Linked DNA regions of Macaca fascicularis. The protein of the gene in region 2 interacts with the protein of the main gene of each other region in a pairwise test. Links are inferred from orthologs where the notes say so. Each region holds a gene or a part of one and is shown on either strand. Other genes may lie near its edges.

What was found. The genes of interacting proteins can lie anywhere in the genome.
Region 1: the proteins of SGTA (region 2) and SPP1 interact in binary tests that used the Homo sapiens proteins (3 or more experiments, as listed by UniProt). The link is inferred for Macaca fascicularis from reciprocal best matches to the Homo sapiens genes SGTA and SPP1.
Region 3: the proteins of SGTA (region 2) and F11R interact in binary tests that used the Homo sapiens proteins (3 or more experiments, as listed by UniProt). The two-hybrid records come from large-scale screens. The link is inferred for Macaca fascicularis from reciprocal best matches to the Homo sapiens genes SGTA and F11R.

The regions. Positions count from the first base shown.
Region 1 is NC_088379.1:93,532,711-93,539,074, reverse strand, and holds part of SPP1 (osteopontin), read right to left. Parts: intron 6,121-6,364; 5' UTR 6,107-6,120; coding exon 6,053-6,106; intron 5,944-6,052; coding exon 5,905-5,943; intron 2,941-5,904; coding exon 2,860-2,940; intron 2,594-2,859; coding exon 2,552-2,593; intron 1,514-2,551; coding exon 1,190-1,513; intron 473-1,189; coding exon 68-472; 3' UTR 1-67. UniProt on the Homo sapiens protein: Major non-collagenous bone protein that binds tightly to hydroxyapatite. Appears to form an integral part of the mineralized matrix. Probably important to cell-matrix interaction.
Region 2 is NC_088393.1:3,461,376-3,469,356, reverse strand, and holds the start of SGTA (small glutamine-rich tetratricopeptide repeat-containing protein alpha), read left to right. Parts: upstream 1-2,756; 5' UTR 2,757-2,797; intron 2,798-7,981. Other genes in the region: THOP1 (thimet oligopeptidase), read right to left, coding at 351-366. UniProt on the Homo sapiens protein: Co-chaperone that binds misfolded and hydrophobic patches-containing client proteins in the cytosol. Mediates their targeting to the endoplasmic reticulum but also regulates their sorting to the proteasome when targeting fails.
Region 3 is NC_088375.1:100,070,455-100,077,737, forward strand, and holds part of F11R (junctional adhesion molecule A), read left to right. Parts: intron 1-1,706; exon of another isoform or gene 1,707-1,812; intron 1,813-2,619; coding exon 2,620-2,688; intron 2,689-2,858; coding exon 2,859-2,966; intron 2,967-3,208; coding exon 3,209-3,355; intron 3,356-3,636; coding exon 3,637-3,839; intron 3,840-4,007; coding exon 4,008-4,110; intron 4,111-4,238; coding exon 4,239-4,346; intron 4,347-4,583; coding exon 4,584-4,596; coding exon of another isoform or gene 4,597-4,600; exon of another isoform or gene 4,601-4,901; coding exon 4,902-4,950; intron 4,951-5,086; coding exon 5,087-5,122; 3' UTR 5,123-7,283. UniProt on the Homo sapiens protein: Seems to play a role in epithelial tight junction formation. Appears early in primordial forms of cell junctions and recruits PARD3.

The DNA of each region.
Region 1 (6,364 bases), on a different chromosome or scaffold from region 2:
CATTTTGCTATAAAGCATTTTTTCTTTTGACTAAAAGCAAAGTGAGAAATTATATTTTTTTCTCCTTTTAATTGACCTCAGAAGATGCACTATCTAATTCATGAGAAATGCGAAATTTCAGGTGTTTATCTTCTTCCTTACTTTTAGGGTCTACAACCAGCATGTCTTCATGGCTGTGAAATTCATGGCTGTGGAATTCATGGCTGATTTTGGAACGTTCCTGACTGTCAATCACATCGGAATGCTCATTGCTGTCATCACTGGCTTTCCGCTTATATAATCTGGAGTGCTTGTGGCTGTGGGTTTCAGCACTGTGGTCATCCAGCTGACTCATTTCATGACTGTCCTTCCCACGGCTGTCCCAATCAGAAGGCACGTTCAGGCCCTGGACAACTGGGATGGCCTTGTATGCACCATTCAACTCCTCGCTTTCCACATGTGAGGTGATGTCCTCGTCTGTAGCATCAGGGTACTGAATCATGGCACAAATGAAGAAGAATTATATGAACAGCTAGGGATGGGAATACGGTAATCCTTTTCTGCTCTCTAGCTTTTAGGCCATCTTATACTAAAAATTGGCTAAATCTGGCTGAAATTATACTAGCATGTTACTTTGTATAGTACTTTACCAAGCCGTTTCACATATGTCGTCTCCTTTAGTTTAATAAGTACATCACTTACATATGTAATGAAACTTATCAGGTAGGTTTCATTATATTGAAACCTACATAAAGAGGAAGTGAATTGGAAGTTAAAAAATAAAGAGAATAGTAAATGGCAAGCCTATGTCAAATCCAGGTTCTGTGACTAAGGATTCAGTGTAATTTGCAACTACAACTCCTCTTAGGTATTTAACTTCGAAACATGACCATTATATTTTTTTTAAATAATTGGTGTTTTCCATTCATTTTAATCTAAAAATAAGTGATCCAGGATTTCAAAAAGTAGAATTGTGTTTGAGAATCAAATCTAGAGAGAAATTATGTACTTACAAAAACCACCGAGCAGAAAAAGATTTGTATTCAATGATCATAAAGTAGAATATGAATGAATTCTTGCTGAATGGATGAATGAATGGATGAATGGATGAATGAATGAATGAATGAATGAATGAATGAATATGCAAACTGTGGTTTCCTAGACTTGAGCTCTAGTCAGAACTATCAGGTGTGTCTGTTAAAGGATTTACCTGGATGTCAGGTCTGCGGAACTTCTTAGATTTTGACCTCAGTCCATAAGCCACACTATCACCTCGGCCATCATATATGTCTACTGTGGGGACAACTGGAGTGAAAACTTCAGTTGCTGGCAGGTCTGTGGGAAAATCAGTAACCAGTTCATCGGATTCATCAGAATGGTGAGACTCATCAGACTGGTGAGAATCATCAGTGTCATCTACTTCATCAGAGTCATTCGAGTCGATGGAGTCCTGGCTGTCCACATGGTCATCATCATCTTCATCATCCACATCATCCATGTGGTCATGGCTTTCGTTAGACTTACTTGGAAGGGTCTGAAAATTAAAATGGCCAGGAAAATTAGTGTGTGGGTTTTTATTTTCCCTTAGTCTTCATAGCACATTAGTCTTTTACTATCTTTCTTTTTATTTAGTTTCAGAATCTTTGCATTCACAGTATATACCATGGCTTTTAGGAGCTAAAGTGAGCATCTTCCAATTTCTCTTTTAACACAGGGATTAATAACATTCTGAGGAACTTTTCCTACTTTCCAACAAAAATTATTTTCATAGATATTTTCAAGCCAAATATGTGAGTATAATCTTCATATCAATAGCATTGTTTTGCCTTATACATATTAAACATTATTTAATTTACTAAATTCAATGATGTAATAGTTACAGACACATAATTATGAGACTTTTTAAAATTTGAAATGAGATTTATCAAAAGAGAAGAGTATCCCTATTTTAATGTGTGTACTAAAATCTATAACCCCTTTCCTATTAGCATGGATAATTGAAAGGTGACTGTTATGCATGTGTGTATAAACTGCAGCTCAAAACTGTCCTTGAATTAAACAATTAATGTCCATTAAATTTCAGATTGACAAATATATTGGGTAATTTAACTTGATTTAATATTCTTAGTATATTCAAATTGAATCTTAAGGAAAATAAATTTACTCTTTGCTTAGCAAATATATGAATGATCCTAATAAAAAGAATAGTTGTCAAATAAACTATTTTTTTAGGAAAGAGAACTTTCCTAAAGGCAAAATCTTAGCTTTGATAGGCATTAATTAGATGCTTATTAGATATTTGATATCTACAAAATACCTTAAATAAATTGCAATCAGCTTAATGTTTCAAATAACAGGCATTAATGAACATTTTCTGTAATGCTAAACATATCTGAGGAAACCTAGTATTTCTGATATTTAGTAAATACATGTTTTCTTTCTGAGCAAGTTTTAAAGACTGCCAATTTACTGGAAAATTAGCTAATGAAATTTCATCAGAAGAGAATCCAGGCAATGGCTTCTTTCGTTTCTTCAAGGTATGATGGGCCTCTGATTGAAAATGAGAACTTACCTCTTGTTTAAAGTCATTGGTTTCTTCGGAAGACACAGCATTCTGAAGAAGGAATGGCACATGTTAGTGTGCATCACACATACCTAGCTTTTTTATTCAAAAGTTAACCTTTTTAATCCAAAGCAGTTTTTATTTTTCTGCCTCATCTGTGGATGGCTTAACACGGGAAGAAGCCAACATGGCAGATCAGTCAATGTCCTAAGCACATGCTTGCCGGCGGGCAGGCAGGATTCATCTGAGCAGCCCAAATGGCCTGCTTGTAGCTATCTTTCATCGTTGTAGTTGAATTATGAGAAGTTTAAAAATACCTGTGGGGCTAGGAGATTCTGCTTCTGAGATGGGTCAGGCTTTAACCATGTGGCCACAGCATCTGGGTATTTGTTGTAAAGCTATAAAAAAGTTGCATGTTTATCATTATTAAAAAAAGAAACGTAGGGATGAATGGAAGAAACAACCATTCTTCACCAGTCTTGATGGATAAGCATAATATGCATGCATATAGTCACTCAGACCCTTAGGTACCTTTTTGTAATTTTTTTTTTCTTGCAGATTCATTTAATACACTCTTATGTAGCACTTAGTGTGGGCTAGGCACTCTTTCAAAATGCTTTACAAATATGAACTCATTTGATCCTCTCATTCCCCTATGAGATGGGTATCATTAATATTCCCACCTTACAATCAGCCACAATGCAGTTAAGTGGTAGGAAATGGCAGAGCCAGGCAGGATTCAAACGCAGGCAAACTAGCTCTTAACCCTGAACTTCACACTATGCTTTCTTTTTGTATGTTTGCTGGCTGAATTTTCCTCTCAGATAAAGCACATCTAAACCAGACGTGCCTTTAATTACTGTTGATCTTCACTGTGTCCAGTCCATGGAACAAGAAGGAACTCTCTAAGGCTGTGCTGTCTAATACAGTATACTCTAACCACATGGGGCTATTTACATTTAAGTTAATTAAAATGAAATGGCCGGGCACAGTGGCTCACGCCTGAAATCTTGGGAGGCTGAGGCAGGCAGATAATGAGGTCAGGAGATCGAGACCATCCTGGCTAACACAGTGAAACCCCCTTTCTACTAAAAATACCAAAAAAAAAAAAAAAAAAAAAAAATTAGCCGGGCATGGTGGCCGGCACCTGTAGTCTCAGCTACTCGGGAGGCTGAGGCAGGAGAATGGCGTAAACCCAGGTGGCAGATCTTGCAGTGAGCCGAGATCGTGCCACTGCACTCCAGCCTGGGCGACAGAGCGAGACTCCATCTCAAAAGAAAAAAAAACGAAGAAATAAGATAAAAATTCAGTTCCTCAGTTGCACTAGGCTACATTTTGAGTACTCCATAGCCATATGTATCTGGCAGCTATCTTACCAGACAATGCAGAAATATAATATTAAAATCATTGCACAAAAGTTCTATAGCTCTAAGGTGCCAAAGATGTAAATGAAATGGATTTTTCTTTAGCCAAGTTATTTATCTGGAAAATACTGATAATATGCTACTGCAGAGGAGTGGAAATTGCTCTGTGTAAGTGTCATCTGATCTGCTGAATCATTCAGGGCCAATCATTACATGTCCCTGTCATTCAGAATAACTCTGGGGGTTGTACAGAGTCCCTTCTGCAGCCACCTAAGGGGTAGATGGGTAGAGAGAAAACCAGTCAGAAGTACTAGAGTTTCTCTCATGGCTGGCTCTAACCAGAGGGGCTTCATACTGGGCTTCTCTGAAAGGTTTTGCTGAAAGAAGGGGTTCCTTGCTTTAAGAAGATGCAAAAACAGCTGGGCGCGGTGGCTCACGCCTGTAATCCCAGCACTTTGGGAGGCTGAGGCCGGCGGATCACAAGGTCAGGAGATCGAGACCATCCTGGCTAACAAGGTGAAACCCCGTCTCTACTAAAAATATAAAAAATTAGCTGGACGTGGTGGCGGGCACCTGTAGTCCCGGCTACTCGGGAGGCTGAGGCAGGAGAATGGCGTGAACCCAGGAGGTGGAGTTTATAGTGAGCTGAGATTGCGCCACTGCACTCCAGCCTGGGCGACAGAGTGACAGAGCGAGACTCTGTCCCAGAAAAAAAAAAGAAGATGCAGAAACAATGGGACTAGATGCGTTCAGAGTTTTTCTCTTCACTTTTTCATATCTATCTATCTATTCTCATGACACATGTAATACAGGCTTGGAGAGAATGGATTTATAAATTAAATTTATAATTTTTAAAACCTAATGTGAAAAAAATAAAGGTAAGCAAAATGAATAGACTAAAAACCACCCAGTAATCCTAACACTCACAGATAACCAGTGTGTATTTTCAGGCATATATCCTTAGAGACTTCCCCAATTTTTTACTAGCTTTAAGTTTCTGGGATTCTAGAAGGCTGGGCCTTGAGCCTTCTAGATTTCTTAAATTGTTATGACTCCACGTGCCTTCTAAAATGCATCTTTGCCATGTTTTCATTTATTAAAAAGGCACTAATTCTTGCCTGAAATAGTATGACCTCTATCTTCTCTGGAGATGTTAATTTTTCTGCTTTATTATTAGGAGTCAACATCTGTGTTTTCAAATCAGTTGGAAAACAGACACACACACCCCCACACACAAACACACACAGAATACTTCTTTTAATGTCTTCATTAAGAAATCTAATTGCAGTGACCCCCAAGGCAACTCTTATTTTGGCCTTTATTCTGTTCAACTGGAATTGAACTCTGTGTGCCTTTTTGTCCAAGCTGCTGGGGACAATGCCCATTTGTTGTTTGGTTGGCACGGTTTCATCTGTTGTGGAGGGGTAGGTACATCTTTAGTGCTGGTCAAATAATTATAATAAAGAGTTTGGTTGGTCTTATGTTTGGTTGGAAAATGTGATCTAACATCAGCTGACAATCACAATAGATACAAACAGCACACATAGACTTTCTTTTCACAATGGGCTTCTCAGCTAATATCTCAGACGATATTGTGAATATTATGGTCATACAAACAGTTCTGACTAATATCTGATGTGAATTTTAAACTTAGCAATCCACTAAATAAAGCAAAAGCTGGAATTTTCTGCTTTTAGATCAATATGTGGACTAATGGAAAAAAAGTCACACAGCTTCGTATAACTCTATCTTACATGCTATACTGGCCTAGACATTATTATATTTAAAATATCTGGGTTGGTTTTACAAACTTATATTTATTAAAAACTATACTGTGCTTGGTACTGGCCTAGATTCATAGCAGGCAGTCAATAAATACTTGTAAACCAATAGATTTGACTGAGAAGATAAGTAATCTTGCAGCAAATATGTTTGTTGCGCCTCTCGCTGTAATTGAGTAAATGATTTCACTATGTAATAAACCTAAAAGATGCTTACCTGCTTTTCCTCAGAACTTCCAGAATCAGCCTGTTTAACCTTTGAAACAGAAAAGATGAAGAAAGATTACAAGAATGTCCTCCTAGCACATAGAAGCACATAATTCAGTTATTTTCAGGAATTTTCTTTAAGATTCAGTTGTACTCACTGGCAGGGCATAGGCGATGCCTAAGAGGCAAAAGGAAATCACTGCAATTCTCATGGTAGTGAGTTTTCCTGCAAAACATTTCATAAGGAATAGCTGACATCCTCATAGGTTAAAACAATGGTACCTTTTTGTACTACCACATTACAAAATAATCACAAATAAAATATATTTTCTGTAAAATCTTTTCTACTTCTTAGAGAAGCCTTTTCTTTTTAGTATTATGGTCTTTCAAGTTAATATTTATATTGCCACCTATTCTCCATCTTTATTAGGTAAGGGAAAGGGAAATTTTACAAGTCTGTATTTATTCAA
Region 2 (7,981 bases):
TTCGATCCTCTCTTGCTTATTTACTTGTTGAATGTCTGTCTCTGGCTCTAGAATTCCGGGAAAACGGGGACCGGAGTCCTCAAATCACGGCCTCCCGAGGGTTCGCCACGGGGCCCGACCCATCCGGAAGGGAAGCGCCATCAACTTTGCAGAATGAATGAAGCGCTGGAAAAGCTGGTTCGTTCATTCTGCAAACGAGAGAGCGGGGTCGCCCACCTCCCCCGCTGCCCCTCCAGCCCGGCCGAGGGTGGCTCGGGGACCACTCCGCTCCAGCCTTAGGCCCAAGTCGCGACCCCGGGAGGAGTGAGGGTGCAGGGGAGCCCGGGTCCGGCGAGCGGGGTAGTCGGTACCTGCGGGGGGCTTCATGGCGGGTGGGTCTGCGCCTGCGGCTCCCTCCCTCCTTCCACCTGCTACGCGTCCAGCCACCTCGGCCACTGAGGCCGCCTCTCTCGGCCCAACCGCCGCCACCGCCGCCACGGCCGCCTGAAGACCAAGCGACCCGCCGCCTGCGCACCCGGGGCATGCTGGGGCGGCGCGTGCACAGGGAGGGCAGGACGCACGCGTGCCCAAGCCCCGCCCACACCTAAAGGAGGCGGGCCGAGACGCTGGAGCTCTCTGCGCATGCGCTCAACCCTCCCAGTCCGTCATTGGTCTCGGGGTTGCGTGGGCGGAGCCTCTTGCGGTACCCCTCCAGAGCCGCTGCGGTGGCTAGAAAGGACGGTTTCCTTGGAAACCGCACGCCGCTGACGCCTCTCAGCCTCTGTCTGAGCGGTTCTTTCCGCGGAAACTTCGCCTGGGCTTCAGGCTACCGTGTTATTGTGTGCTTGCCTCCCTTCTTATAGCTGTGTGTTGGGCCAGTGTTATTATCGATCGCTAACTGTATCCCAGGCCCACTTTCCAGCATCTGAATCAGACGAATCAATTACATTAACCAGAAGTTTTGGTGTTTGGTTGTTTTTGAGACGGAGTCTCGCTCTGTCGCCCAGGCTGGAGTGCAGTGGCAGCAATCTCGGCTCACTGCAACCTCCGCCTCCCGGGTTCAAGCAATTCTCCTGCCTCAGCCTCTCGAGTAGCTGGGACTACAGGCGCGAGCCGCCACGCTCGGCTAATTTTCGTATTTTTAGTAGAGACAGGGTTTCACCATGTTGGCCAGGATGGTCTTAATCTCTTGACCTCGTGATCCGCCCGCCTCGGCCGCCCAAAGTGCTGGGATTACAGGTGTGAGCCACCGCGCCCGGCCAAGGTTTATTTTTTGTCAGAAACATAAGCAAGTAAACTGATTCATGTCAAATAACAGGTGTTTTGGAACAGTGCAGTAACCTGACCTACATCCAGTGTTGTGGGTTGAAACAAAAAACATCTGGAACCGTCTGTCTTGAACTGTTATGGCACCCAGAAAAAACAATGTACTACAATTAAACTGGCAAAAACGAAGCAACCGACCTCCTTTCCTTTTATGTTTTTTGTTTTTGTTTCGTTTTGTTTTGGAGGGACTGGACGGAGTCTCACTCTGTCGCCCAGGCTGGAGTACCATGGCGCGATCTCGGCTCACTGCAACCTCTGCCTCTCGGGTTCAAGCGATTCTCCTGCCTCAACCTCCCGAGTAGCTGGGACTACAGATGCCCGCACCACGCCCGGCTAGTTTTTGTATTTTTAGTAGAGACAGGTTTTCAGCATGTTGGCCAGGCTGGTCTCGAACTTCTGACCTCAAGTGATCTGCCCCTTGGCCTCCCAAAGTGCTGGGATTACAGGTGTCAGCCACCGCGCCCGGTCTCACCTTCTTTATTTCTGCAAAAGAAATTAAAATAATCCACGCCATTAATCGTGCATGTATTTCGAGTAGGACAACAATGAATTGGGAGAACATTTCTGTCAATTATAACTCAGATGGTGATCAGTTTTCTGTCGTCCTTGGAAATTTCTCATCTCTCATCTCTATTTTTTTTTCCATATGTCTTGAGCACACCAAGCTTTTACATTGGCCTTCATTTTTGCTGTTCCCTGTGCCTGGGGTCCGTTTGGACTTTTTCCTATCCTTGAAATCCAAATCTAAAGGATGATCTTTCCTACCCATACCATACAACTTAGCTCCCGGTGGCAATCACACCACCTTCATTTTTTTTGTAGTGTTAGCTGTGAAATTTCTTGTTTATCTACTTATGTACTAGTTTATTAGTTTATAGTTCGTCTACCCCAATGCAAAATAATGACAGTAGACACTTTGCTGGTTTTTATGACTGGTTTGCAATAAATATGGAATATTAGGCACCTGCTGCCTACTAATGTTTCTATTCTCACAAGCGTCTCATAAATTGACTGCATGAAAGAATGCATTTGTGGGTGAGTAGATGGGTGGGTGAATAAATGAACAAAGATAGCGAGCGGACAACACTGACTCCCATTCATTGCGGGGCTATGACGCTCTGGAGTCCAGGTGGCCAAACGCGGCTGCACCACGTGGCCGGCCCAGCACCACGTGGTCAGCTCGGCGACCGGCTGGAGTCAGCCACTGTTCCACCGTGCACCGCTTCGTTCCCGCCCTAGAGGGCAAACCAGCCCCGACTTCCGGCCTCCATTAGGTCGTAGAGGTCAGTTGCCCTAACGACCAGCTGGTTCCCGCCTCTACGTTGCGTCACTTCCTTCCACGCCCACCTCGATCATTAACGCGCCTGTGCAGAAGGGAAGCAACCCGGGGAGCCCTTCTTCTGCGCAGGCGTCGCGCCCGGGGGCCGGGGCCGGGCGGCTCCGCGGTGCGCAAGCGCAACCGTCGGTGGGTCGGGGATCGGTCGCCTGAGAGGTGAGTGAGGGGCACTGTGCTGAGCCTGGCGGGTGTGGGGTCTGCGACTCGGGGCTCACGGGGCCCCAGAGCCCGTAAGAGGTTGGGGATCGTGAGGCCAGGGTCAGCGCGACCCGCGGGGTCCTGTGAGTAGGCGGAGCGGAGGGGAAACTGAGGCCGGGCGGCATCGGCAGGCCCTTCGAGCCCTGATCTCCCTTCCCCGGGCCCCAGGTCCTGGAAATGCTGGTCCGCGGACTGGTGGCGAGGACGGCTGGAGGGGAAGGCGCCCCGCATGTACTGAGCGCTCGCTGGGTGTTCGCTGCCGTTCCGCTCTTACTAACTGCCTGGAAAAGTCGTCCCTGTGACTCGGGGACCCCCGTTTGTGGGGACTCAAGTCGGGGCTCTGGTCCCAGCGTCGCCAGTCCCTACCTGGGTGACCTTGCCCAGCCTCTTGGCTTCTCGGAGCCTCAGTTTTCCCGTCTGTAAAACGGGCGTTGTCAGAAGTCCCTGCCTGGGAGAATGAGAGCCGCCGCAGGGTCCAGCGGAATCTGAGAACTCCAAAGAATTAGCAGCCGTTCGTCTTATTTCATGTTTAGAGTCTTCTTCTGCATATCGTGCTAGAGGTGGGGGAAATCTGGGATTCAGAACCAGCCCACCACCACCACCCACCCGCTGTGTAAACCTGGATGAGTTGCCTTCCCTCTCTGAGCAAACCTTCTTTTTCGTAAACGAGTTGTAAAAGCAGATGTCTGGGAGGGTCATTATGAGGATAAGCCCACATTCAATGATTTGATCAGGTGCCTGGAACTTGATAAGAGAGAGCTGGCTTGAGAACAGCTGTTTTTGTTATTAGGTGGCAGAAAATTGCAGTGCAATGTGCCTCTCAGAGGTTGGATCATTGTCCCGTTTACTTTTGCTTCTGTCTCTGATTATTCGTTCTCTCTGCCTTTTCCCTCCCTTGACCAGTGTGGTTCTCAACCAGGAACAATTCTGTGCCCCAGAGATTCTTGGTGACATTTGTGCTTTTCACGATTCAGGGGACCCCCTGGTTTGGAGTCGGTGGAGGCCAGGGTTGCTGCTCAGCACCCTGCAGTGCCCAGGACGGCCCCACCCCAGAAAACGATCCAACTTTGAATGTCAATAACGCTTTAAAAACCACACCCTACCATACGGGTGGATCACCTGAGGTCAGGAGTTCGAGACCAGCCTGACCAATGTGGTGAAACCCCGTCTCTCTTGAAAATACAAAACTTAGCTGGGCATGGTGGCGTGCGCCTGTAATCCCAGCTACTCAGGAGGCTGAGGCAGAAGAATCCCTTGAACCCAGGAGGCAGAGGTTACAGAGACCCAAGATCACGCCACTGCACTCCAGCCTGGGTGACAGAGCGAGACCCTGTCAAAAAAAACCAAAAAACAAAAAAAACCTACCCTAGATCAGTGATTCTTCCCCAGCATGGGCAGCTGGGAGTGTGTGGGCCCGGGAAATGGTATACAAAGTTTTGTGTGTGCACCCAATTTTGTGTGGCGAGAAGTGGGCACTTTGGAGTTTAGCTTCTCAAGTGAGGCTGCCTGGGTTCAGAACGCCTCATTTGCATCCTCCTAGCTGGGTGGTCTTGGGTGGTTCCCATCTTTCCAAGCCTCAGTTTTTCTTCTGTGGAATGGGGATTATAAAAGTAACCACCTCAGGTGTGTGAGGATTCAACCGGGCAAGGTATCAGCTAACCAGAAGGCCAAATCCACCTCTGGCCTGTTTTTGGGAATGAAGGTTTGTGGGAACACAGCCACACTCCTTGGTTTGCATGTTACCTGTGGTTGGTTTCGAGCTAAGAAGACACAGTTGAACAGTTGCCGTAGGGACCTTAGCGCCTGCCGAGCTGAAGACAGTCTGGCCCTTTTCAGAAAAACCTCTGCTGACCCCTAAAATAAGCTATCGCATGTACAGCACTTAGCTGGGTGCCTGGAAAGCTGTAAGCGCGCCAAGGATTTGAGCTGAGGTTTATAATTAAATCTTCCTAGAAGGGTGAATGATTCCAAATGGGGGTGAGCTCTGCCCCAGATTGGACGGATCCTTGAGAGCGGCAGTCTTACTCAATTCTATGGTTGTTTTTTTGCCAAGACCCAACAGTGGCCCTGGTAGGAAGTGCTCGGTACAGGCCGAAGGCATAAAAGGGGTGGTTTGAGATAAGGTCTTGCTCTGTCGCCCAGGCTGGAGTGTAGTGGCGCAATCTCCGCTCACTGCAGCCTCGACCTCCCGGGCTCAGGCCCTCCCACCTCAGCCTCCTGAGTAGCTGGGACTACAGGTGTGCACTACCACACCCGGCTAATTTTAGTATTTTGTTGTTTTAGAGATAGGGTTTCACCGTGTTACCCAGGCTGGTCTCAAACTCCTGGGTTCAAGCGATCCTCCACCTTGGCCTCCAGAGTTCTGTGATTACAGGCGTGCCTCACTGCACCTGGCCCGTTTTCTCTTTTACTGAGGTGGAAACAGAAACCCAGAGAGAAATGGCCTCCCCATTTCAAGGAACTTGACCACGTGTCTGTGAATTTTTCAACCATCGAAGGCTTTCCTGAGTCCATAGGGTTTAGACGCTGCCAGATGCTGGCGTTCAAAGGGAAGCTGGGTCTGTCAAGAGGTAGAAAGCCTTGTAAGAGATGCTGGGCCAGAGATGGAGTTTGCAGGAATACTAGATTCTCTCCTAGAGTTGGGCAGGAGAGGTGAGCACTTGAGTTTGAGTGGCACGTACAGGGTTTGGTGTAGGCCCCACAGACGACCCCCAGCTGGTGGGGGGGCCTCCTATGCACACTCCTGGGGTTCCAGGGAGCACTTGAGGGCTTTTATGTGTACAGTGACCTCCTGGTGGCATTTTAGAAGAAAGTGGACTTCGATGTGGGGAGTGGGCAGGGGACTGAGCTAGAACTCGGGTGTCCTGAGAGGGAGTGAGGAGCAGGGCACCTGGCTTTCCTGCCCTGCTGTTGGTGAGAAGCAACGTGGATTTGGGATGGAGGCGGGCAGAGTGCTCACAGAAGGCGGTGGGCAAGAGCGGGCGCTTCCTACTGGAGTGTAAGGAGGTAAGATGGCCTCAGTTTACGAGGATATTCTGTTTTTTTCCATTGAATGATCCATTCTGGGCAGGGAAATAAGGAAGAGAGGTGGTTGTGAGTTTTTTGTCTGGTTTTAGAGACAGGGTCTCACTTTGTCACCCGGGCTGGAGTGCAGAGCCCAGTCACAGCTCACTGCAGCCTCCAACTCCTGGGCTCAAAACGATCTTCTCGCCTCAGCCTCTCAAGCAGCTGGGACTACTGATGTGTGCCGCCACGTCAGGCTAATTTTTTTTTTTTTTGGTGGAGTCTCTTTTGTAGGGTCTCACTGTACACTGTATAATAGCCCAAACTGGTCTCGAACACCTGGACTCGAGCGATTCTCTCGCCTCGGCCTCCCAAAGTGCTGGGATTACAGGCGTGAGCCCCCGCCCCTGACCGAGGGGGCCGTGGTTTGATTTTGTTTTCATTTTAATGATAAAATGAAAAGGTGGGATGTGGAGTCCTCGGCTCAGAGCCGAAAGGGACACTGAAGGCCCCTACGCGGGAGCTGGCGCCACCCCCACGGGCCAGCACTCCTCCCACCCTCACTTGTGCGGCCTCTGCCTTGAGACCAGGCCTCGGCCATGGCTCCTGCGCACCCATAAAGCCGTCGCTGTTGGGAGACACAGCAGGCCTTCTCTGAGAATGCTGTCCCGCAGCCAAACCCTCCAAGTTGTGGTTGTCCCAGAGACAGCGAGTGCCAAACGGCAGTTGAGGAACATGCGTCCTCATGCCTGCTGGACCTCCCTCCGAAGAGCAGAAAACTTTCTGACGGGAGAGCCCGGCTGCTGAAGCAGATTTGAGAACCGTTTGATGATGTCCCCCACCTTGGGGATGGCAGAGAAGCCACAGGTCCTAGCACCCCCGGCCTGTGTCACGTGCAGGGCGGGGCCGTGCTTACCGTAGGTGAGCTGTCCTCCACCACGGACCGCAGTTCTGACACCCAGAATACCCTGCAAACAGAAGGTTTTCAGAAAGTTCACAGCAAAGTCATCTGGCCAGAAAAAGCTGACCCGTGCTGACTTCCAGCCTTTCTTCTTCCCACTTAGTGGCCGCCATGATTTACAGCTGGGGGCGGTTTGGCAGCGTCTGGGGACGTGTGTGGTCGTCTCAGCCGGAGAGTGTTTCAGGCGTGCATGGGGGGGAGCCAGGGGTGCCGCTCAGCTGCCTGCCATGCGCAGGACAGAATCATCCACCCAAGATGCCCACGGTGCCAGGGGGGAGACACCTGCGTTAATTATTTGGGAAAAAATTGAGCCTGCTCCCTGCTCACACAGACACCAGAATAAACTTCCAGCGGGGCAGAGGGTGGGAATCGAGGTCCCCAGGTCCTCGGGTTCGCCGCCTCGCTCCCTCTCCGTGTAGCGTGTAGATTTATCTTTTGTTGTTTTGTTAGAGACAGGGTCTCACTTTGTCGCCCAAGTTGCTCTCGAACTCCTGGGCTCAAGCAACCCTCCACAGTTTGTGAATTTCAATGGGTGCAGCCTCCTGGGCCTTGGTAGAGCAAACAATCACGGGACACAGAGTCTCCTGGGGATCAGTGGCATCCCCTGGCCCAGGGAGTCTAAGCTGGGACACTTCTGCTCAGCTGTGCCCCAGGCTAACGGGGAGGGGGCAGGGTAGAGACCACGAGGCCAAGAGGTTCTCTGGGCCGTGGAGGGTGTTCCAGGAGAGAAAAGAGCACGTGCAAAGGCCCTGGGGTACAGAGGCGCTGGCGGGACCGGGAGGGAGGAGTGTGACTCAGTGAGGCTCACTGTTCCACTCTCTGAACCCTCAGTGGATCCCTAGCCACCCGCCACCCCGTCCAGTCCTCACACCTCAGTCTAAGAGAGAAGGAAACCGGTACACCAAAGATGAGATTTCTTGGTTTAGAAGGAGCGCACATCCCCCTCCACACACCCGCCCCCAGCGTGGATCGTGCTAGGCCCTGCGTGCCTGGAATGCTAAGCCGCGTTCCAGCTGTCACTGGTATGATCTTGCGTGTGCCACCTGTCCGGGCCTGTCACCCCTCTATAAGAGGGGGCTGTGACCCCCGCCTTCTAGGTTTAAGGGGGGACTCAGCCAGGTGTGGTTTCTTTTTTTTTTTTTTTTTTGAGACGACGTCTCGCTCTGTCTCCCAGGCTG
Region 3 (7,283 bases), on a different chromosome or scaffold from region 2:
AGGTTGCAGTGAACCAAGATTGCACCACTGCATTCCAGCCAGGGCGACAGAGTGAGATTCTGTCTCAAAAAAAAAAAAAATTAGACTGGTCGCCATGGCTTACGCCTGTAATTCCAGCACTTTGGGAGGCTGCAGGGGGAGTTTGAGACCAGCCTGGCCAACATGGCGAAACCCCATCTCTACTAAAAGTACAAAAATTAGCCGGTGTGGTGGCAAGTGCCTATAATCCCAGTGTTTGAGAAGCTGAGGAGAATCACTTGAACCTGGGAGGCAGAGGCTGCAGTGAGCTGAGATAGCGCCATTGCACTCCAGCCTGGGCAACAGGAGTGAAACTCCGTCTTAGAAAAAAAAAAAAAAGTATAATAAGAGAAAAAAAAGGATATAGGAGTAACCTATATCTTGAGTCTCTTATCTATAAAGTGGGAGAGAGAATACTTATCTGGACTAATTCATAGTGTTATTTTTTTTAAAAATAAAGTTGTTTTATTTATTTATTTATTTATTTATTTATTTATTTATTTGAGACAGAGTCTGGCTCTGTCGCCCAGGCTGGAGTGCAGTGGTGTGATCTCGACTCACTGCAAGCTCTGCCTCCTGGGTTCACACCATTCTCTTGCCTCAGCCTCCTGAGTAGCTGGAACCACAGGTGCCCACCACCACGCTCGGCTAATTTTTTGTATTTTTTTTGGTAGAGATGGGGTTTCACCGTGTTAGCCAGGATGGTCTCGATCTCCTGACCTCGTGATCCACCTGCCTCGGGCTCCCAAAGTGCTGGGATTACAGGCGTGAACCACTGCATCCGGCCCATAGTATTATTATGTCAGATTGAAATACATGTATACAGACATTGTCTAAACATCAATGCCAAAATTAAAAAGGAACCTAAAGGACTTTAGAGCACATCTGTTTCATATTTCAGAGAGGAAGGGGAATCTCAGAGGTCAAGAGACCATATTCAGTTATGTGCATAATTAAGTAAAGGAAAAATGTACTTGAATTCAACAAATGTGTTTGAATTCTACATTTATCTAAGACAGGGTCCTGACTTGAAGCTATGAATAAAAGGATATTTCATGAATTTGACTTTGAAAACGTGAATGAGAATAATTGTGTAAGTGCAGGTTTGTAGCTGCACCGTGTGGTCCCAGAATCCCTGGTCACTGCTTCTTTTTTTTTTTTTTTTTTTTTTTTTGAGACAGAGTCTCGCTCTGTCACCCAGGCTGGAGTGCAGTGGCCGGATCTCAGCTCACTACAAGCTCTGCCTCCCAGGTTTACGCCATTCTCCTGCCTCAGCCTCCCAAATAGCTGGGACTACAGGCGCCCGCCACCTCGCCCGGCTAGTTTTTTGTATTTTTAGTAGAGACGGGGTTTCACCGTGTTAGCCAGGCTGGTCTCGATCTCCTGACCTCGTGATCCGCCTGTCTCGGCCTCCCAAAGTGCTGGGATTACAGGCTTGAGCCACCGTGCCCGGCCGTCACTGCTGCTTAATTTGACCTTTGTGGGTCCCTCCCGTGAACCCTGATGCATCTCCCCCATATTACTTAATTAGCCTCTTTGCTCCTCCCTCCCTCCACCCAGCACACACTACCTTTTCTTTGTCCGTCTGTCGAGTAGAATATTCTAGTGAGGTGATCTGAACCCACTTCTAGTGCCAGCTTCACCTTAGAACCAGTTGTGTGATTTTTTTTTTTTTTTTTTTTTTTTAGATTGAGTCTCGCTGTGTTGCCCAGGCTGGAGGGCAGTGGCACGATCTCGGCTCACTGCAACCTCTGCCTCCCTGGTTCAAGCGATTCTTCTGCCTCAGCCTCCCAAGTAACGGACTACAGGCGTGCCACCACGCCCGGCTAATTTTTGTATTATTGGTAGAGACGGGGGTTTCACCATATTGGCCAGGCTGGTCTCGAACTCCTGACCTCATAACCTGCCCACCTCGGCCTCCCAAAGTGCTGGGTTTACAGGCCTGAGCCACCGGGCCTGGCCCCAGCTGTATGACATTAGGCACATTTACTTCTTGTACTCTTAATTCCTCATGTAAACACGGGATAATAATACACGCCTTGCCAATCTGTCATGCTTGTTTCCAGGATCAAATGATGCAGCGTGTCATAATGTATGCAAAAACACTTTAAAAAGCACCACATGCTCCACAAATGTCGAGTATTATTATTATCCTCATTATGGCTCTGCCCTTCCCTTCCATCCCTTGCCTCCAGCCCTGCTGGCTTCCTTCCAGGATTGTCTTGACAAGTGGCTGCAATCATTTGTTGAGAAGCTTTCTCTGAATGGTGAAATGTCATTCTGGAAGCTGCCCTTGGACTAGTAGAAATCTAATTAGATTATTGGGAGTCACAGGGAGAAAAATTAGAAGCAAAAGAAGCTGCATTTGAGAGATTTCCATTGATAAAAGAAGTATTAGCCTGCAATTGTAGCAAAAAGCACTTAAAGAAGACATTTAGGATCATGGTGACAAAGTGTGAGAGTCAGGAGGAGCATGAGTCTGGAATCCCTTCCGCTTAGGGTCTGTGAGTGGAGAAGCCCTGTCTGCTGGGTCTGTGCCTCCCTCTTCCTGGCATTTCTCTGCTCACTCCTGACAGGGCCCACCTCTTTCTTTCTCCTCAGGCTCCCTGGCATTGGGCAGTGTTACAGTGCACTCTTCTGAACCTGAAGTCAGAATTCCTGAGAATAATCGTGAGTTGGGAGGGGCTGTGGAGGGTGGCTCTCGAGGGTGTGAGGGTGAGTAGTTGCCGGCCGTCTGGGGACCTAGAGAGCACCCAGCCCAGCCTGCAGTTTAGGGCTGTTCCCCATCTCGTGTATTTGCTGCTGATTCCTCCTCTGGCTCATTTTGACCCTGTCTGCAGCTGTGAAGTTGTCCTGTGCCTACTCGGGCTTTTCTTCTCCCCGTGTGGAGTGGAAGTTTGACCAAGGAGACACCACCAAACTCGTCTGCTATAATAACAAGATCACAGGTGAGTTGCTTCTCCTCCTTCCTGATTGCCTAGGTTGTGGAGGGGTTATCATGCCTGGATTCTACGATCCAGGCTTTGTGCCCTTATCCCAGGGCATACCCTGGGGCTCAAGTCCTCATGGCCTTCCCACTCCCCTTTCTGGGGGAAGAGGAGAGCACTTGCGTACCTTGGATGCCCCCTTCATCAGCTTCCCTTAGCTCTCCAGTTCACTCTGTCCTCGCCCTTGCCTCCTCTTGTGGTAGCTTCCTATGAGGACCGAGTGACCTTCTTGCCAAGTGGTATCACCTTCAAGTCTGTGACACGGGAGGACACCGGGACATATACTTGTATGGTCTCTGAGGAAGGCGGCAACAACTATGGGGAGGTCAAGGTCAAGCTCATCGTGCTTGGTATGTGCCACATATCTTCTGGGTGGGCCTGGAGTTAGTTACTTCCCATAGCAGGCTCTGCTGAGCTTTGGAGCTCTTTGATGGTGAGAATGCCCACAGGTGGGGCTATTCAGAGTCCTGGAGCTGCCAGAGAGGGGATAAGCCCTGGTTAGGTGGCAACCAGGGGCATGGTGAGGGTGGGAGGCTTGAGCTGAGTAGATGGGGGTACCATTCTAGTTGGTTACTTAGACTCAAGCAGCCCCCACCCTGTACTCAGCACCTTCTGTCTTTCTCTTCCACAGTGCCTCCATCCAAGCCTACAGTTAGCATCCCCTCCTCTGCCACCATTGGGAACCGGGCAGTGCTGACATGCTCAGAAAAAGATGGTTCCCCACCTTCTGAATACACCTGGTTCAAAGATGGGATTGTGATGCCTACGAATCCCAAGAGTACCCGTGCCTTCAGCAACTCTTCCTATGTCCTGAATCCCACAACAGGAGAGCTGGTATGGATGGGGTGGTGGTGAAAGATGTGTGGGGCATGCAGTTATAGAACCCCAAAAAGTGGGAGGAAGAACAGGCAGCAGGGTGAACTTGGGTTTGGCGTCAGGAGACATTAAAAAATGGCTATTTTGCTTCTTCAAGCAGGAAGCCAATTTGTTTTCCTCCCTCAGGTCTTTGATCCCCTGTCAGCCTCTGATACTGGAGAATATAGCTGTGAGGCACGGAATGGGTATGGGACACCCATGACATCAAATGCTGTGCGCATGGAAGCTGGTGAGAGTTAGGGCTTGAGCCCAGACCTGGGGTGGGGATCGGCGTCTGCTTTTCATCCTGCCATTGGTGATCCTGTTGGTACCGTGAGTGAGTATCCTGGTGCTTGACTTCTCATTTGTGTCTCACAGTGGAGCGGAATGTGGGGGTCATCGTGGCAGCTGTCCTTGTAACCCTGATTCTCCTGGGAATCTTGATTTTTGGCATCTGGTTTGCCTATAGCCGAGGCCACTTTGACAGTAAGTATCTGCCCCCAGAGGCTCTCCTTTGTACTGCCCCCATCCCAGGGCCTGGCATGGGTGTCATCTGAGTACTGACCCTGATACTGTGCTCATGTGTGTGGGTGTTGTCCCCTGGGGAACACTGATCACCCATCGAACACACACCTTGGGAAGATGAGGCCTGCCCCTCCATCTTCCCAAGCCATGCTGTCTTCTGTCCTGCTGTCACTCATGATCCCATTTCTTCTCTTTCAGGAACAAAGAAAGGGTGAGTGAGGTGCTGTCCTGGGGTTCTCCAAGTTTGAGAGCAGGGATGCATGCCGTTTGAAGCTGAAGTGGGCCCGGGGGAATGGGTTGAAGGCAGAAGCAACCAGTTTGGAGGGAAGGCATCTGGATATCCAGCCCTTTCTCTGTGCCCTCGGCCCTGGGCCTGTCCTGTTTCCCCCCACCCATGCCTTTCTGCTGCGCACTCTGTGCTTCTGTAGCATTCTCGGTTCTGGCCTTTAAAGTTGGCAAGGAGAGGTAATAAGCACCTAGGTGGCTGAGTGTCTCTGTCTTCTGGCTTGTTCACAGGACTTCGAGTAAGAAGGTGATTTACAGCCAGCCTAGTGCTCGAAGTGAAGTGAGTATGCCTGCCCTGGGCAGGGGTGGGCTACCTGGGGCTGGAGTGAGGAGATTTCTAGCCCATGTTTATGTGTTTTGGGGATTATCAGCTAAAGAAGACTATTGAGAGTTGACCGGATGTTTTATTTCTGCAGGGGGAATTCAAACAGACCTCGTCATTCCTGGTGTGAGCCTGGTCGGGCTCACCGCCTGTCATCTGCACTTGCCTCACTCAGGTGCTACCGGACTCTGGCCCCTGATGTCTGTAGTTTCACAGGATGCCTTATTTGTCTTCTACACCCCACACGGCCCCCTACTTCTTAGGATGTGTTTTTAATAATGTCAACTATGTGCCCCTTCCTCCTTCATTCTCTCCCTTCCTTTCCTACCACTGCTGAGTGGCCTGGAACTTGTTTAAAGTGTTTATTCCCCATTTCTATGAGGGATCAGGTAGGAATCCTGGGTATGCCATTGACTTCCCTTCTAAACAGACAGCAAAAATGGTGGGGCTCCCAGGAATCTGCTCTCAACTGCCCACCTGGCCGGCAGGGATCTTTAAATAGGGATCTTGAGCTTGGTTCTGGGCTCTTTCCTTGTGTACCGAGGACCGGGGCCAGCTGTTCTAGAGTAGGGATTAGAGGCTAGAGCAGCTGAAATGGTTGTTTGGTGATGACACTGGGGTCCTTCCATCTCTGGGGCCCACTCTGTTCTGTCTTCCCATGGGAAGTCCCTCTGCCCTGTCCTCCTCTTGAATACAAGCCGCCTGACATTGACTGTGTCTGTGGAAAATGGGAGCTCTTGTTGTGGAGAGCATAGTAAATTTTCAGAGAACGTGAAGTGAAAAATATTTAAAACCACTGCTCTAAAGAAAAGAAAACTGGAGGCTGGGCGTGGTGGCTCACGCCTATAATCCCAGAGGCCGAGGCAGGTGGATCATCTGGGGTCAGGAGTTCAAAATCAGTCTAACCAACATGGAGAAACCCTACTAAAAATACAAAATGAGCCAGGCATGGTGGTACATGCCTGTAATCCCAGCTGCTCGGGAGCCTGGTAACAAAAGCGAAACTCTATCTCAAAAAAAAAAAAAGGGAAAGAGAATAGAAAAGAAAGCTGGAGCTGGTGGCTCAGGCCATCACCCTTCCCTTGGCTGGAACTATTGGACAGACCCTTTTGAGATGTGCTCGTGGTGCTATGGAGATGTGTGTAGTGGTCTTAGCTCTTTGTTGAGCCTGTGTGTGTGTTGTGCGGTCTTAGCTGTATGCTGAAATTGGGCGTGTGTTGGAGGGCTTCTTAGCTCTTTGGTTAGATTGTATTTCTGTGTGTTTCTATCAGCTGGATGTTGCTGGAAATAAAACCTTGGTTTGTCAAGGCTCTTTTTGTGGGAAGTAAGCAGGGGAAAAAGTCTTTGAGGGTTCCTGGGCTCCTTTGTACAACAGGAAAATGCCTCCAAGCCTTGCTTCCCAGCAACCTGGGGCTGGTTCCCAGTGCCTGGTCCTGCCCCTTCCGGGTTCTTATCTCAAGGCAGAGCTTCTGAATTTCAGGCCCTCATTCCAGAGCCCTCTTGTGGCCAGGCCTTCCTTTGCTGGAGGAAGGTACTCAGGGTGAAGCTGATGCTGTACTTGGGGGATCTCCTTGGCCTGTTCCACCAAGTGAGAGGAGAAAGTACTTACTCTTGTACCTCCTGTCCAGCCAGGTACATTAACAGACCTCCCTATGGCTGTAGGAACTACTGTCCCAGAGCTGAGGCGGGGGGATTTCTCAGGTCATTTGGAGAACAAGTGCTTTAGTAGTAAAGTAGTAACTGCTACTATATTTAGTGGGGTGGAGTTCAGAAGAAATTTGAAGACCAGATCATGGGTGGTCTGCATGTGAATAAACGCGAATGAGCAGGACAGGCCTGGCTATCATTGCTTTCCTCCTCCCCATTTGGACCCTTTGCCCTTACATTTTTGTTTCTGCATCTACCACCATCCCACCAGTCTATTAACTTAGCAAGAGGACAAATAAAGGGCCCTCTTGGCTTGATTTTGCTTCTTTCTTTCTGTGGAGGATATACTGAGTGCCACTTTGCCCTATCCTATTTGGAAATCCCTAACAACTGAGTTTTCTATTAAGGATCCAAAAAGAAAAACAAAATGCTAATGAAGCCATTGGTTAAGGGTCACATGCCAATAAAAAATAAATTTTCCAGAAGAAATGAAATCCAACTAGACAAAGTAGAGCTTATGAAATGGTTCAGTAAGGATGATTTTTTTTTTTTTTTTTTTTTTTAAGACGGAGTCTCACTCTGTCACCCAGGCTGGAGTGCAGTGGTGTGATCACCCATCTTCCAGGTTCAAGCCATTCTCCTGC